3 linked regions of the Macaca mulatta genome follow. The protein of the gene in region 3 purifies or fractionates together with the protein of the main gene of each other region. This does not show direct contact. Links are inferred from orthologs where the notes say so. Each region holds a gene or a part of one and is shown on either strand. Other genes may lie near its edges.

Region 1 (4,285 bases), on a different chromosome or scaffold from region 3:
TTAATGTTCAAACTAGTAGTGATGTGGCAAAGGATTTGCAGAAAACTGGAGTCTTGGAGTCATGTAGAATGTTGGTACAGCCCAATAAAGAACTATTGTTGGGGAATTCGTATTGGTTGTAAGTGTCTGAGAAAACAGATACAAACTTCAGGATGATGTCTGAGCTGGCAGTACCTGTTGGCCACCTATAGGTAGATGTGCTGGCCTGCAAGTTTTTTTTTTGTTTTTGCACTCTGCTGGGCAAGTAGCCAGTTCTTTCCAGTGACTGGGATCTGCTGGAGATTTATGGTGATCTGACAAAGTCTGAAAGATTCCAGAAGGTGGCAGAGTGGCATATACTCAGTAGTTCCCTTTCTCTCCGCTGGTACAAGTTTTTAGGATCTCTGCAAGTATGCTGCAGCATGTGAAATCTGAAGGCTGGGGAAAGCCAAGGAGGCAGAGAACCAGGAGGTTGCTTTCTTAGATGTCGTTGGGTCTTCTAGGTCTCATGGTTCATTTATCCACCTCTTGTTGCCCTAGCTATTAATAATTACCACTAGTCTGCATTTCCCGAGCCTAGAGGCAGCTGTTGGCTATGTGAATAATACCTGCATTTTCGCGAATGCTTGCCAGATGGTTTTTATAATGATCACATGGCCTTATCTACAGTGTATCCCCTACTCCGTGTTGCTGAAAGACCTGGAAATGCGGAATCTTCGGGAACTAGAAGACCTCATCATTGAGGCTGTCTACACTGACATCATCCAGGGCAAGCTGGACCAGCGAAACCAGCTGCTGGAAGTGGATTTCTGCATTGGCCGTGACATCCGAAAGAAGGATATCAATAATATTGTCAAGACCCTGCATGAATGGTGAGGCTGAAAGGAGGAGGGAGATACCTAGCATGTCTTTTGTGCCTCTCCTTGCAAAAATGTGATTTCCTGGTGTCAGCTGAGGGTTTGGGGTGGGCCTGTGGCTACCTGGGAGCTGGGGCTTAGTGAGCCAGAGAGTGGGGCTACATTTGTGATCACAGCTGTGCAACAACAGGAGTCATTTCAGGCCTCCTGGTGCCTTGGTTGTGAAATAGTTCTTGCCTTAAATGCAACTGGGAGCTATTTAAAAGTGGGCTATAAAACGCCCAGGGTTAGCAGGTGGAGTCTGTGTGTCCTAGCTGTGTGAGGCTAGTCCTGCCCTTTCCAAACTCACACTCAGGTTTGACCAAACTCAGGAAGGCTAGTGTTTGTAAAATTCTTTGTTTTTATTATTATTTTTTCTATCCCTGTTGAAGTTAACATGTTTATAAGATTCTTTGGATAAAAGAACTTATGTTCAAAATCAATAACATATTGGGCTAATGTTTGTGAAACACCATGAGGGACATGGAAGACAAGGAGTAGGTCATTTTAACTTGGAATACAACTCATACAAAGAATATTTGATAACTATATTCTGGTATATAAAAAGCATTGGGACATTTGCGTTTTCTCTGTTTTAATGGAATTTGATATTTACAAGAGCTGTCACACGTTCTATGAGGATTTACTGTGGAATGATTTAAATTATTTGGGGCTTATAAAGTCAGATGAACTGATTGGAGAAGTTTTAGCTCAGTTTTGAAGGAGTACCAGGGTTAGAGTATACCTGGAGGTGAGGAGAGTGTGTTCCCAGGCATGCACATGGCATGTTGGGAGCTGTGAAGCAGAGCCAGCGAGCTTCATGCACAGGTTTGGGAGAGAGAGAATCTCTGCTTATCCCCGAGGAAGCATATCCAGAGAGGAGCAGTGCCACTTTGACTCCTTGGGGCCTGATGCCCCCTGAGTTTCCCTCACTTCAGCTACTCTTACACCCCAGGACATGTGTTGCTCACTCCTCACCCCAATTTCTGTCTCAAGTGTAGCCCCAAACACCTCTGTACAACATCTGACACAAGCGGAAGTTTTCAATAGGTTACAAAACTTAGGATAAATAAGAAATAAACTTAGAAATACCCCAACACGAAAATGGTCTGGCACACGAAATCTAGTTTCTGAACCTGCCAAAAAATTGGCTGTCCTATTCTGTTTTTGACATGGCTGACACAGCTTTTTATGTCCATAGTCTGGTTTCCTGTTTTTAAGCCCCCAAAATGTTTGACATGGAGGTGCCAGACTAACTGGTTACCACAGGATGTTTACTAGTAGAGACTCTTACAACTCATGTTTAGGCGCTGGAGGTAGATTGAAACAAAATTGATAGGCTGAGGGGTACCACATATATGGCAAAATGCTCATACTGTTGGATCTTAAGTGGAGGGAATGGGGATATTCATTGTAGTCTTTCAACTTTTTCGTTTTTAAAAAAATTAATAGTGGAGAAGATAAAATAGGGTTATGGCAATTAGGAAGCAACTTAAACTTCTGAGAAAAGGAGGAAACTTCAAAACAGGATGCTTTTAGAAAATCTTTTTTTTCTGTTGAGAAAACTGTTGAGAAAAGGACTACTCAGTGCCATCTATAAAATCTATTCTACCTTTTTTTTTTTTTTTTGAGATGGCGTTTCACTCTGTCACTCAGGCCGGAGTGTGGTAGTGGTGTGGTCTTGGCTCACTGCAACCTCTGCCTCCCGGGTTCAAGCGATTTTCCCGCCTCAGCCTCCCAAGTAGCTGGGATTACAGGCGCCTGCCACCACACCTGGCTGATTTTTGTATTTTTAGTAGAGATGGGGCTTCACTGTGTTGGCCAGGCTGGTCTTGAACTCCTGACCTGGTGATCCACTCCCCCGCCTCCGCTGGCCTCCCAAAGTGCTGGGATTACAGGTGGGAGCCACTACCCCCGGCCTGTCCTACCTTCTTTAATTGTATGTGCTACACAACCATCTTCCATGAGATACACAGTTGAGAATTAAAGCTGTATTCTAAGAAACTAGCCCCAGACTACCATATTTGTCTCCTAATGTCCTGCATTATGTATTTAGAAGTACTTGTCTTTGGGCGCGTGTGAATGGGCAAGAGATGTGGCAGAGGGAGTATTAAAGGAGGTCCCTGTAAGATACTGGGGAGAGCTATTGGGGAGGAAGATTTCGGAGCCTGGAAGAGACTTCCCAGGCCATTCTGCAGCTCAGGGCTGGTGTTCTCCGTTGTAGGTGTGATGGCTGTGAAGCAGTTCTGCTGGGCATCGAGCAGCAAGTTCTGAGAGCCAACCAGTACAAAGAGAACCATAACCGAACTCAGCAGCAGGTAGAAGCAGAGGTAAGGAAGGAAAGGAACGTTTGTTTCTCTCTCCAGGGCATACCTGTTTATTCCTTTGCAGTGTTTATGTTTTTGTTTTGCGAGTCTTGTTGTAGATGAAACGAGCAGTCACCAACAAATGGGCCTGGGTTAGGTGCTGGGGTACAGGGATGAGTGTGACACGGCTCCTACTCTTGGTGTTCTCTGTTTTTTCCGATTCCTGGTCAGCATAGGGTGATCGATCAGGCTTTGAGAACAGAGAATGTTGTAGTTTCAGTACACATGTACTTTGCAGCTGTAGAGCAAAAGAAAATGAGTTTGGGGCTGGATCTTAAAAATGGATAGAAGGATGGTGATAAGTTACCAGGTAGAGTGGAGGGAGGGGTACAGCTGGGCAGGGGCATGTGGGGCTTCAAGGCCCTGGGAATGTTCTGCTTCTTAAGTTGCGTGGTGGGCACCTAGTTTCATTTTATTCTTTTTGTCTGAACTGTACATATATATTATAAATGTGTAAAATGCGTGACATATTTCATATGGAAAGAAGAAAGGGATAAAATTTGGCAGATGAGCTGCAAGTGAAGTTAAAAGGATGTAAGTGTGGTTTTATGACACCTGGCTGTTGAGGAAACTTTTAGCTTCTTGGACAGATGTAGGCCCCAGCCTTTGCGTTATGGGCATTTGTGTACGTGTAACCTGACACATGAAGTGACCTCACTTCAGAATTTATTTGGAGCCCTGAAGATCAGAAGCACTGATTTTCCGTAGCATTGGAAGTTCTTTTCTAGGGTGGATGGGGTTTGAAGTATTAATGATGCTTAATGAATTTTGAAAATCAGGTGTCTAAGAGTATGGCAGAGTGGGACCCGAAATTGCAGCTAAGAAGCATAAGAGATGAGTAGATGTGCCTTTCAAAGGGGGATTTGTGAAATTTGGAGTGATTCCCTGTACTGTTATATGCACTTCTTGAAAATAAAACCTGTATCCTATTTGTAAGGCGAGCTTCTGGTCCCATGCCTAACCCATAGTAGGTACTCAGATGTTCAACTGACTATTTCTGGCACACCATGAAAGTGTGTCAGTGGACTGCTGCACTCTGCTTTT
Region 2 (4,285 bases), on a different chromosome or scaffold from region 3:
TTATACATATTCAATTTAATCTGAGCAACTGAACAGATATTTCACATAGCACCTATCTCCAGTCCTATTTAAAATCAGTTCTCTGTCTTCTTAAGCAATTGTTAATCTCCAATTTCTTGAATACTAAAAGTCATTTGAAAACAATTTATAGTAATCTAATTCATTTATTAAGCATAAAATTATAGTACAACATTTTAAAAACATTCTTCTGACAAAAATTACTATGAATAGCTACCCTCTAGGTAACTGGCTAAAACTAGTTATATCTGGTTTGATTCACTAAATATGATTCACTAAAATGAGTTAGGCCAGTTGGCTAAGTTAGATTAAGTCGAATCAACACTCTCCTATGCTTTACAATGCCCTTTCCCCAATCTTAAATATCCAAATTCCTACTTCTGTCCTATAGGACTTGGTTTAACTGCACATGCTTTAAATGAAACCTTTCCTCACCTGCACAACTGGAGATAATTTCAGTTTCCTCTGGACTCCCACAAGGATACAGCTTGCTGTGACACTTAATAACTTGAAACCCTACTTAAGATTATTTTTTGTTTTTCTTCCTTAAAGGATTCATGAGGCAGAAGCCACATGAGTCATTTTTACCCTATAGACATAAGCAGAGAACTCTCACATAATAGAAGCTCCAAAATAAAGAATTTTGAATCCCATTTTTATCCTAAAAGATAGAAAATAAAAATACCCTACCTGTGCCTTTTTGCACGTTCTGCAGTACGCCATGGCAAGAAACCAGACACACCAGGTGGTAGAGGTGCAGGCGCATATTCTTTACCAAGGGAGTGTTTTCTGCCACTACTTACAGGTTTCTTTGTAGCCAATCCTACTTGAGAAAGTGTTAAAAAGAAAGAATTAAGATGCACTAAAGGTCTACAGATTAATTAGCACATGTGCATACTCTTAAAAGAATACCAATGGGCACCTGACAATGACACCAAGGCCATTAAATCAGGATCAATTTGTAAGTATCTTTTTACATAGGCCACTAATAAATATAAGAATAAATATATTTTAATATATTTAAATATAAGTTAAAAATGTAATAAATATATAAAAATTAAAAATATAAGTTGTCTAGAGTAACAAGTTATCACTTTAACTAAAATATAACTTTAATATATGAGACATGCAGAGCATGAAAAAGTAAATAAAACATGTAACCCAAAGAATGAAAGATTATATGTGATACATTTCATTATGCATTATGCAGAAATATTGTTATTAAATCTCAGAATATTTTTGGCATTCCTGAATCTCAAGGACAGAACATAGATATACCCATGACTCCTACCAAACAGAACCTTCTGAATTGGACCAAAATTTCAATGTGAGATTAATTTTATCATGGAAAAATTATCCAAGTTATAAGAGTGAAGGTAGCTGGACTAATTTTATAATGTAAAAACTATCCAAGTTGTAAGACTGAAGGTAGCTGGGTAGTAGGTGAGTCAATGTTGCCGCCTGTATGTCTGTCCACCTTCAGTGTTCATTTGCTTTTATAGAATACAAAACAAACACATGAAACCTATTGGATAAAAGAATGAAGCATAAAGTCTTATCCTACATTTCAGTATTAAAGAGTCAAGTATCTTTTTATGAAACATTTGGTAGCAAAAGCTAGACCTATTAATATTTTATTTAAAACAAATTATATATTAAAATTCACATTTAAATATATGTTTCTGATATCGCTGAGAACAAATAATACAAGTTTATTAAAATGGTTATATTTATCCTTCCAATCTATTTTACTATGTAAGATCTACTTTAGCAGCTTTAGGACAGCATCTACAAGAACGTGTATGTGGTAATACAGGACAAATATTTCCCATAGTGTAGCTTATTGATAATCACCACATCATGTTGTGCCATTTCTCTGGACAAATTTATATACCTCTTAAAATATATAGGAGCTCAGTTCATTGTATGCTGTTATTAATATAATTATCCCAAAAAAAAGTTCCTGTGTATTGTTTGTGGTGTGTGTAGAAAGTAATGCAAATATAATTTTTTTTTTTTGGAGGAGTCTCACTCTGTCGCCCAGGCTAGAGTGTAGTGGCACAATCTTGGCTCACTGCAACCTCCACCTCCCAGGTTCAAGCAGTTCTTCTGCCTCAGCCTCCCGAGAAGCTGGGATTACAGGTGCACACCGCCACACTCAGCTAATTTTTTGTATTTTAGTGAAGTTGCCCAGGCTGGTCTCCAACTCCTGAGTTTAGGCAATCCACCCGCCTCGGCCTCCTAAAGTGCTGGGATTACAGGCGTGAGCCACCGTGCCCAGCCACAAACAGAAATTTTAGTTAAAACCAAACTAATTTACTTATCTTGTTAGATGATGAAAAGAATTATAGTGGAAGTTTCCTATCTTCTGTCTGCACACGTAATTGCAATATGAATGTAACATAATTTACATAAATTATATAACCCCTATACTCACTGACACCTATTAAATATACAGCCAGACACTGATTTGGCTTACCTCTGTGTCTCCAAATAACTGAGGCAAATACAAAAAAAGCCCAAGAAATAAAGTTACTCTTAAAATAGCTCAGTGAGCTTGTAAACTTCAGTTACATTTCCAATTTCTTTAATCATGCTAAGAAAAAAGATTTTTTGAATTCTCATTCAATGATGTCCAATTATATACCACTAGCTACTAAAATTATAGTATTTCCAATGTTTTATATTTTATGTTAAATTGTTTTATATCTTAGCCATTTTTAAGCATACAGTTCAGTGATATTGTCAAGTGATAGCTTTTAAAAATTTCAAGTAGCATCCAAATAAAAGATTATCTGGTATTAATTGTTTGGTGATCGTAATGTACAGGGTATGTAACTAAAGTCACCACAAACCTTTTTCTGGGAAACTGGCAGATTATAAACATAAAAAAATTATTTTGTTTCCTCTGTATTAGTCTTCATGGTTTTACTGTTTCAAAATTCAAAGTTACTTACAAGAAAAGGTCACTTTCATATTAGATTTGGCTTAACTTATTCCACTGTCACTCATTCTTATCAGTAAAAAAAGGCTACTTATGACTAAAGATAATGTGTTCTAGAAAATAAAAGTTAAAGACTCTTTAAAAACAAAACGAAAATATCAGTAGAACTAGATTATACCAAATTTATATATTCAGGAGAATGTGAAATTTATGTCATTAGTTGATAAAGAGTTTATAAAGTTTTCTTTCATTACTCTTTGTCACAAAATTATAGACAATTTCAAAATTCTAGACTGTTACTTGGCAGATTAAATAAACTATAAATAGCAAACATTTATGGAATGTTTGTCTAAAATGTTCCATCTCTGGGTAATAAACTTACCTGCAGTATTGTTTTATAAGGATTACATACAATTTAAGGTTTTTTCATCATTGAAAGAAGCAAGGTGCTACCTGATTCAACAACTTTGGGTAAGAATTTGCAAGGAAGGAGGAGGAAACAAAGGGAAAAAAGGGAACTGGGAAGAGATTTTGTTTTCTATAGTATGAAAGGATAATTTTTCATTAACAACAACAACAAAATCATACAAACGCACTGCTGCTAAAACTGTCATCAAAGTGCATCCCAAATTTCAACTGCAAAGTATCAGAAGTAATCATCAATCAGAAAACATATCTAAAATCATCAATGTTGTATGAAAAACAAATAAGGGTAATTTTTAAAATGGAAGCACTAGCATCCCTTTCCTAATGATTCATTTACTATTTCTACATTCCATAAATTCTCATAATCAGAATAATTATAGTCCTAATAATCTGCACAGAGTCAAAATTGGTTGTTACCGTCAATATCATAAATGAGAAGAGATTTTGATTTTAACACACTAGAACACTAGTAGCATTAAAAAGCCAAGACCAAAAAGGTTACCAATTCTAATAGTAGCTTTTCCTTTGTGACCACTTCCTAGAATTATAGTTCTCTTTTTCTGTTTAGCAGTTTTGGATGGTTCCTTCACTGATGGAGAAGTTATCCACTGGTACTAAAAGAGAGAGAATAAACACTACATTTCAGTTACAGATCATTTATGAGGGTTAGATCTTAAATGGAAATTGTTAAGATATTCTAAGTTAATAAAAGGTTTGCAATCAGCAGTTCTGGGACCCAAAATTAAAGAATCGTATGGTATTTACAAAAACAGAAAAGACATTTGATTTGACTGTAAATTTAAGATGGCAGAAAAGTGCCTTAATAGTTTCATCTTATTAAAAACAGACAAAAAGCTGGGTACAGTGGTATATACCTAGAATCCTAGCTACCTAGGA
Region 3 (4,285 bases):
TGCCTCAAAAAAATAATAAAACCAGAAAAAATTACACACGAACCTTGGTGACTTTTCCATAATTATGACATAATTTCCCTATTTAATAACTGCATATGAGATCATAAAAATACATTGTAGTAGAACTGATTGTACTTTATACAAACAATTCCTTGCAGTTTTTACAAAAATAATGTAGTTTTTTAAAGTAAAACAAAGTGAGTGGAACACCAAATTTTGACTCTGGAACAACTATTGAAATTGGTCATTAGTTTTATGATGAATAATACAGAATTTTTTTTTTCCCATTAGGTATCAGCATTATTTTGGGAGTGGCTGAGGGTGAGTTCTTCATCCATGATGCTGAAATTCAGAAGTCAGCACTTCAGATTATCATCAATTGTGTGTGTGGCCCAGATAACCGCATATCCAGTATTGGTAAATTTATCTCTGGTACTCCTCGGAGAAAGCTGCCTCAGAACCCCAAAAGCAGTGAGCACACCCTGGCCAAGATGTGGAATGTGGTTCAGTCCAACAACGGCATCAAGGTGCTCCTGTCCTTACTGTCCATTAAGATGCCCATCACAGATGCAGACCAGATCCGGGCACTGGCCTGCAAGGCCCTGGTGGGCCTGTCTCGCAGTAGCACTGTCCGGCAGATCATCAGTAAACTGCCCCTTTTCAGCAGCTGCCAGATCCAGCAGCTGATGAAGGAGCCTGTGCTGCAGGACAAGCGCAGTGACCATGTCAAGTTCTGCAAGTATGCTGCTGAACTCATTGAACGGGTGTCAGGAAAACCACTTCTCATTGGCACTGATGTTTCCCTAGCACGACTGCAGAAAGCAGATGTTGTTGCCCAGTCAAGGATCTCCTTCCCTGAGAAAGAGCTGCTTTTGTTGATACGAAACCATCTTATTTCTAAAGGGCTTGGAGAAACAGCAACCGTGCTGACAAAAGAGGCCGACCTGCCCATGACTGCTGCCTCCCATTCTTCTGCCTTTACCCCAGTCACTGCTGCTGCTTCTCCTGTCTCTCTACCCCGAACCCCTCGTATCGCTAATGGCATTGCAACTCGACTGGGCAGCCATGCTGCCGTGGGTGCCTCTGCCCCTTCTGCCCCCACTGCCCATCCTCAGCCACGGCCTCCCCAGGGTCCACTAGCTCTGCCCGGCCCATCTTATGCTGGCAACTCCCCTTTGATTGGTAGGATCAGTTTTATCAGAGAGAGGCCGTCACCCTGTAATGGCAGGAAAATCAGAGTGTTGCGGCAGAAGTCGGACCATGGCGCCTACAGCCAAAGCCCAGCCATAAAAAAGCAGCTGGACAGACATCTTCCTTCCCCACCTACGCTGGACAGTATAATCACAGAGTATCTTAGAGAACAACATGCTCGCTGCAAGAATCCAGTTGCCACTTGCCCACCTTTCTCCCTCTTTACTCCTCACCAATGTCCTGAGCCAAAACAGAGGCGGCAAGCGCCAATAAACTTTACCTCAAGGCTAAACCGCAGGGCATCATTTCCAAAGTATGGAGGGGTGGATGGCGGATGCTTTGATAGGCACCTTATCTTTAGCAGGTAAGAAGAAGGCCCCTTCTTACTCTCTGGGAATTGGAACGATTCTTTTATTTAAATCAAATTGGGCAGTATCAGCATAGTTGGCTTGAAATACCACTGATTGTCACTTTGTGTAATACTTGAACAATGTAATTGTATCACCTTTTGTCAACCATGGGCTCCTTGTGTGATTGTTGGCAGTATATTGATATAATCCTTTGTGTTCTCATCTCAACTAGTATGTTTTCTAGAACCCACACCCCCTCATTACTGTCCATAAGGAGGCTCCCAAACTTGTGCTGTTGCAAGTGGCTTCCTGTTCTGATTCTTGACAAATCTTACATAAAGGTTATGGGATCACAGGTTTTAAACATGGGAATTTTTTTTTTTGTTTGTTTGAGATGGAGTGTCTCTGTCGCCTAGGCTGGAGTACAGTGGTGCAATCTTGGCTCATTGCAACCTCTGCCTCCCAGGTTCAAGTGATTCTCCTGCCTCAGCCTCCTAAGTAGCTGGGATTACAGGCAGGCGCCACCACATCTAGCTAATTTTTGCATTTTTAGTAGAGATGGGGTTTTACCATTTTGACCAGGCTGGTCTTGAATTCCTGACCTCAACTGATCCCCCCACCTGTGCTAGGATTACAGTTGTGAGCCATTGCGTCTGGCCTAAACATGGGAATTTTTGTTATTTAAATTTGTAAGTGGAAATATTTTTCTTATTTAAAATAAAAAGCACTGAAGGTCACTGTGATTTTGGAAGAACCCATTTGAAACATTAATGTTCTGTGCTTTTTCTTCTGTCCTAGCAGTTTGCTTTTTCTGAGTCCCTGCACATTCTTTGCCTCTGATTCTCTCCTTTTTTTTGTGCTTAGATTCCGTCCTATTTCAGTGTTCCGGGAAGCCAATGAAGATGAGAGTGGCTTCACCTGCTGTGCATTCTCAGCTCGGGAGCGGTTCCTGATGCTTGGCACCTGCACAGGGCAGCTGAAGCTCTATAATGTGTTTAGTGGACAGGAGGAGGCCAGCTATAACTGTCACAACTCAGCCATCACACATCTTGAACCTTCCAGGGTAAGGGTTCCTTCCTAGGATGCTGTCAGTCATTCTTCCAAGATGAATTAGTGAACTAGAGTAAAGGAGGCTTACCCTTTATTGAGCTCTCTCTTTTAAATGAGTTCTCAACTGGAAAGTCTGGTTGAGGTTAACTCATATTTCAGATGGAGACTGAGGAATATGGCAAAGTTATTAGGAAGAAAGGAACTATCTTTGACATCGTCTCATTTTTCCCACCTCCCTTTTATCTGTTCTATTTTTGTGGCTAGTTCAGTAGGATTTAATACTCTCCTAAGTTTAGTTATTTTCTAGGACACTATAGGTATATGTATTCAAATCATAGTGGCTTCTGACCATTTCTTGGTTTCTGTGGGTTATAAAATTTTCTCTTTAATTCAACAACATTTTTATGCATATATTTAAAAATGCTAATGGCAGGTAGTGACATCTGCATGTATGTAAATGCACGGTTACCCACCTTGTGCCTTCTTTTAGGATGGGTCCTTGCTGCTGACATCTGCTACTTGGAGCCAGCCTTTGTCTGCACTTTGGGGAATGAAATCAGTATTTGATATGAAGTATGTATCTGCTTTTGGAACCTAGTCTGTGTTTTATTTACCTAGTTTGTTTAGACCCCCTTTCATTTGGTTTTTAGACGAAGCTTTTGGGGAAAGAGGATGCTGTCAGTTATTGTTAACTTCTCTCTTCCTCATCTAAGACTCATGTTTAATAAGACTTTATCTTTCTTAATTCCTAGATATTTTTATGAGGTATATACATTCTCATTATGCAGCAGACCCTGACCCAGAATCTATGTATTTTCCCGTGTTCACATAGGACATTGCCGTCTTTGCTGTGTCTCCTCTCCTCTCCTCCCCTCCCCTCCCCTCCCCTCCCCTCCCCTCCTCTCCTCTCCCCTCCTCTCCCCTCCTCTCTTTCCTCCTCTCCTCTCCTTTTCTCTCTCCTCTCGTCTCCTTTCCTTTTCTTTTTTTCCTTTTTTTTTTGTGAGACGGAGTCTCACTCTGTCACCCAGGCTGGAGTGCAGTGGCCTGATCTCAGCTCACTGCAAGCTCCGCCTCCTGGGTTCACATCATTCTCCTGCCTTAGCCTCCTGAGCAGCTGGGACTACAGGCGCCAGCCACCACGCCTGGCTAATTTTTTGTATTTTTAGTAGAGACAGCGTTTCACTATGCTAGCCAGGATGGTCTCGATTTCCTGACCTCGTTGATCTGCCCACCTCGGCCTCCCAAAGTGCTGGGATTACAGGCATGAGCCACTGTGCCCGGCTTTTTCTTTTCTTTCCTTCTTTCGACAGGGTCTCACTCTGTCACTTAGGTTGGAGTGCAGTGGCACAAGCATGACCTACTTCATCCTCTGCCTCCCAGGCTCAAGTGATCCTCCCACCTCAGCCTGCTGATTAGCTGGGACCACAGGCATGTGCCGCCATGCCTGGCTAATTTGCAATTTTGGTAGAGGTAGGGTTTTGACATGTTGCCCAGGGTGGTCTCGAACTCCTGAGCTCAGGCAGTCCACCTGCCTCAGCCTCCCAAAGTGCTGGGATTATAGGAGTGAGCTACCGTGGCTGGCCCCTTTGCTGCGTGTTTCAAAGGCACGTATGCCCTGTTTGTCATTTCTCTAAGGAATTCCCATTCATTATTTTGTATCTGCTTGGACAAGCTGATAGAAGAAATTTTCTTTG

The links. The genes of interacting proteins can lie anywhere in the genome.
Region 1: the proteins of DCAF1 (region 3) and COPS7B purify together in Homo sapiens (affinity purification with mass spectrometry; 3 studies listed by BioGRID, with this or other methods). This does not show direct contact. The link is inferred for Macaca mulatta from reciprocal best matches to the Homo sapiens genes DCAF1 and COPS7B.
Region 2: the proteins of DCAF1 (region 3) and CEP78 purify together in Homo sapiens (affinity purification with western blotting; 3 studies listed by BioGRID, with this or other methods). This does not show direct contact. The link is inferred for Macaca mulatta from reciprocal best matches to the Homo sapiens genes DCAF1 and CEP78.

Annotation. Positions count from the first base shown.
Region 1 is NC_133417.1:137,063,283-137,067,567, forward strand, and holds part of COPS7B (COP9 signalosome complex subunit 7b), read left to right. Parts: intron 1-648; coding exon 649-851; intron 852-3,099; coding exon 3,100-3,205; intron 3,206-4,285. UniProt on the Homo sapiens protein: Component of the COP9 signalosome complex (CSN), a complex involved in various cellular and developmental processes.
Region 2 is NC_133420.1:109,198,490-109,202,774, reverse strand, and holds part of CEP78 (centrosomal protein of 78 kDa), read right to left. Parts: intron 4,003-4,285; coding exon 3,891-4,002; intron 845-3,890; coding exon 709-844; intron 1-708. UniProt on the Homo sapiens protein: Centriole wall protein that localizes to mature centrioles and regulates centriole and cilia biogenesis. Involved in centrosome duplication: required for efficient PLK4 centrosomal localization and PLK4-induced overduplication of centrioles.
Region 3 is NC_133407.1:114,893,314-114,897,598, reverse strand, and holds part of DCAF1 (DDB1- and CUL4-associated factor 1), read left to right. Parts: intron 1-291; coding exon 292-1,555; intron 1,556-2,405; coding exon 2,406-2,604; intron 2,605-3,081; coding exon 3,082-3,164; intron 3,165-4,285. UniProt on the Homo sapiens protein: Acts both as a substrate recognition component of E3 ubiquitin-protein ligase complexes and as an atypical serine/threonine-protein kinase, playing key roles in various processes such as cell cycle, telomerase regulation and histone modification.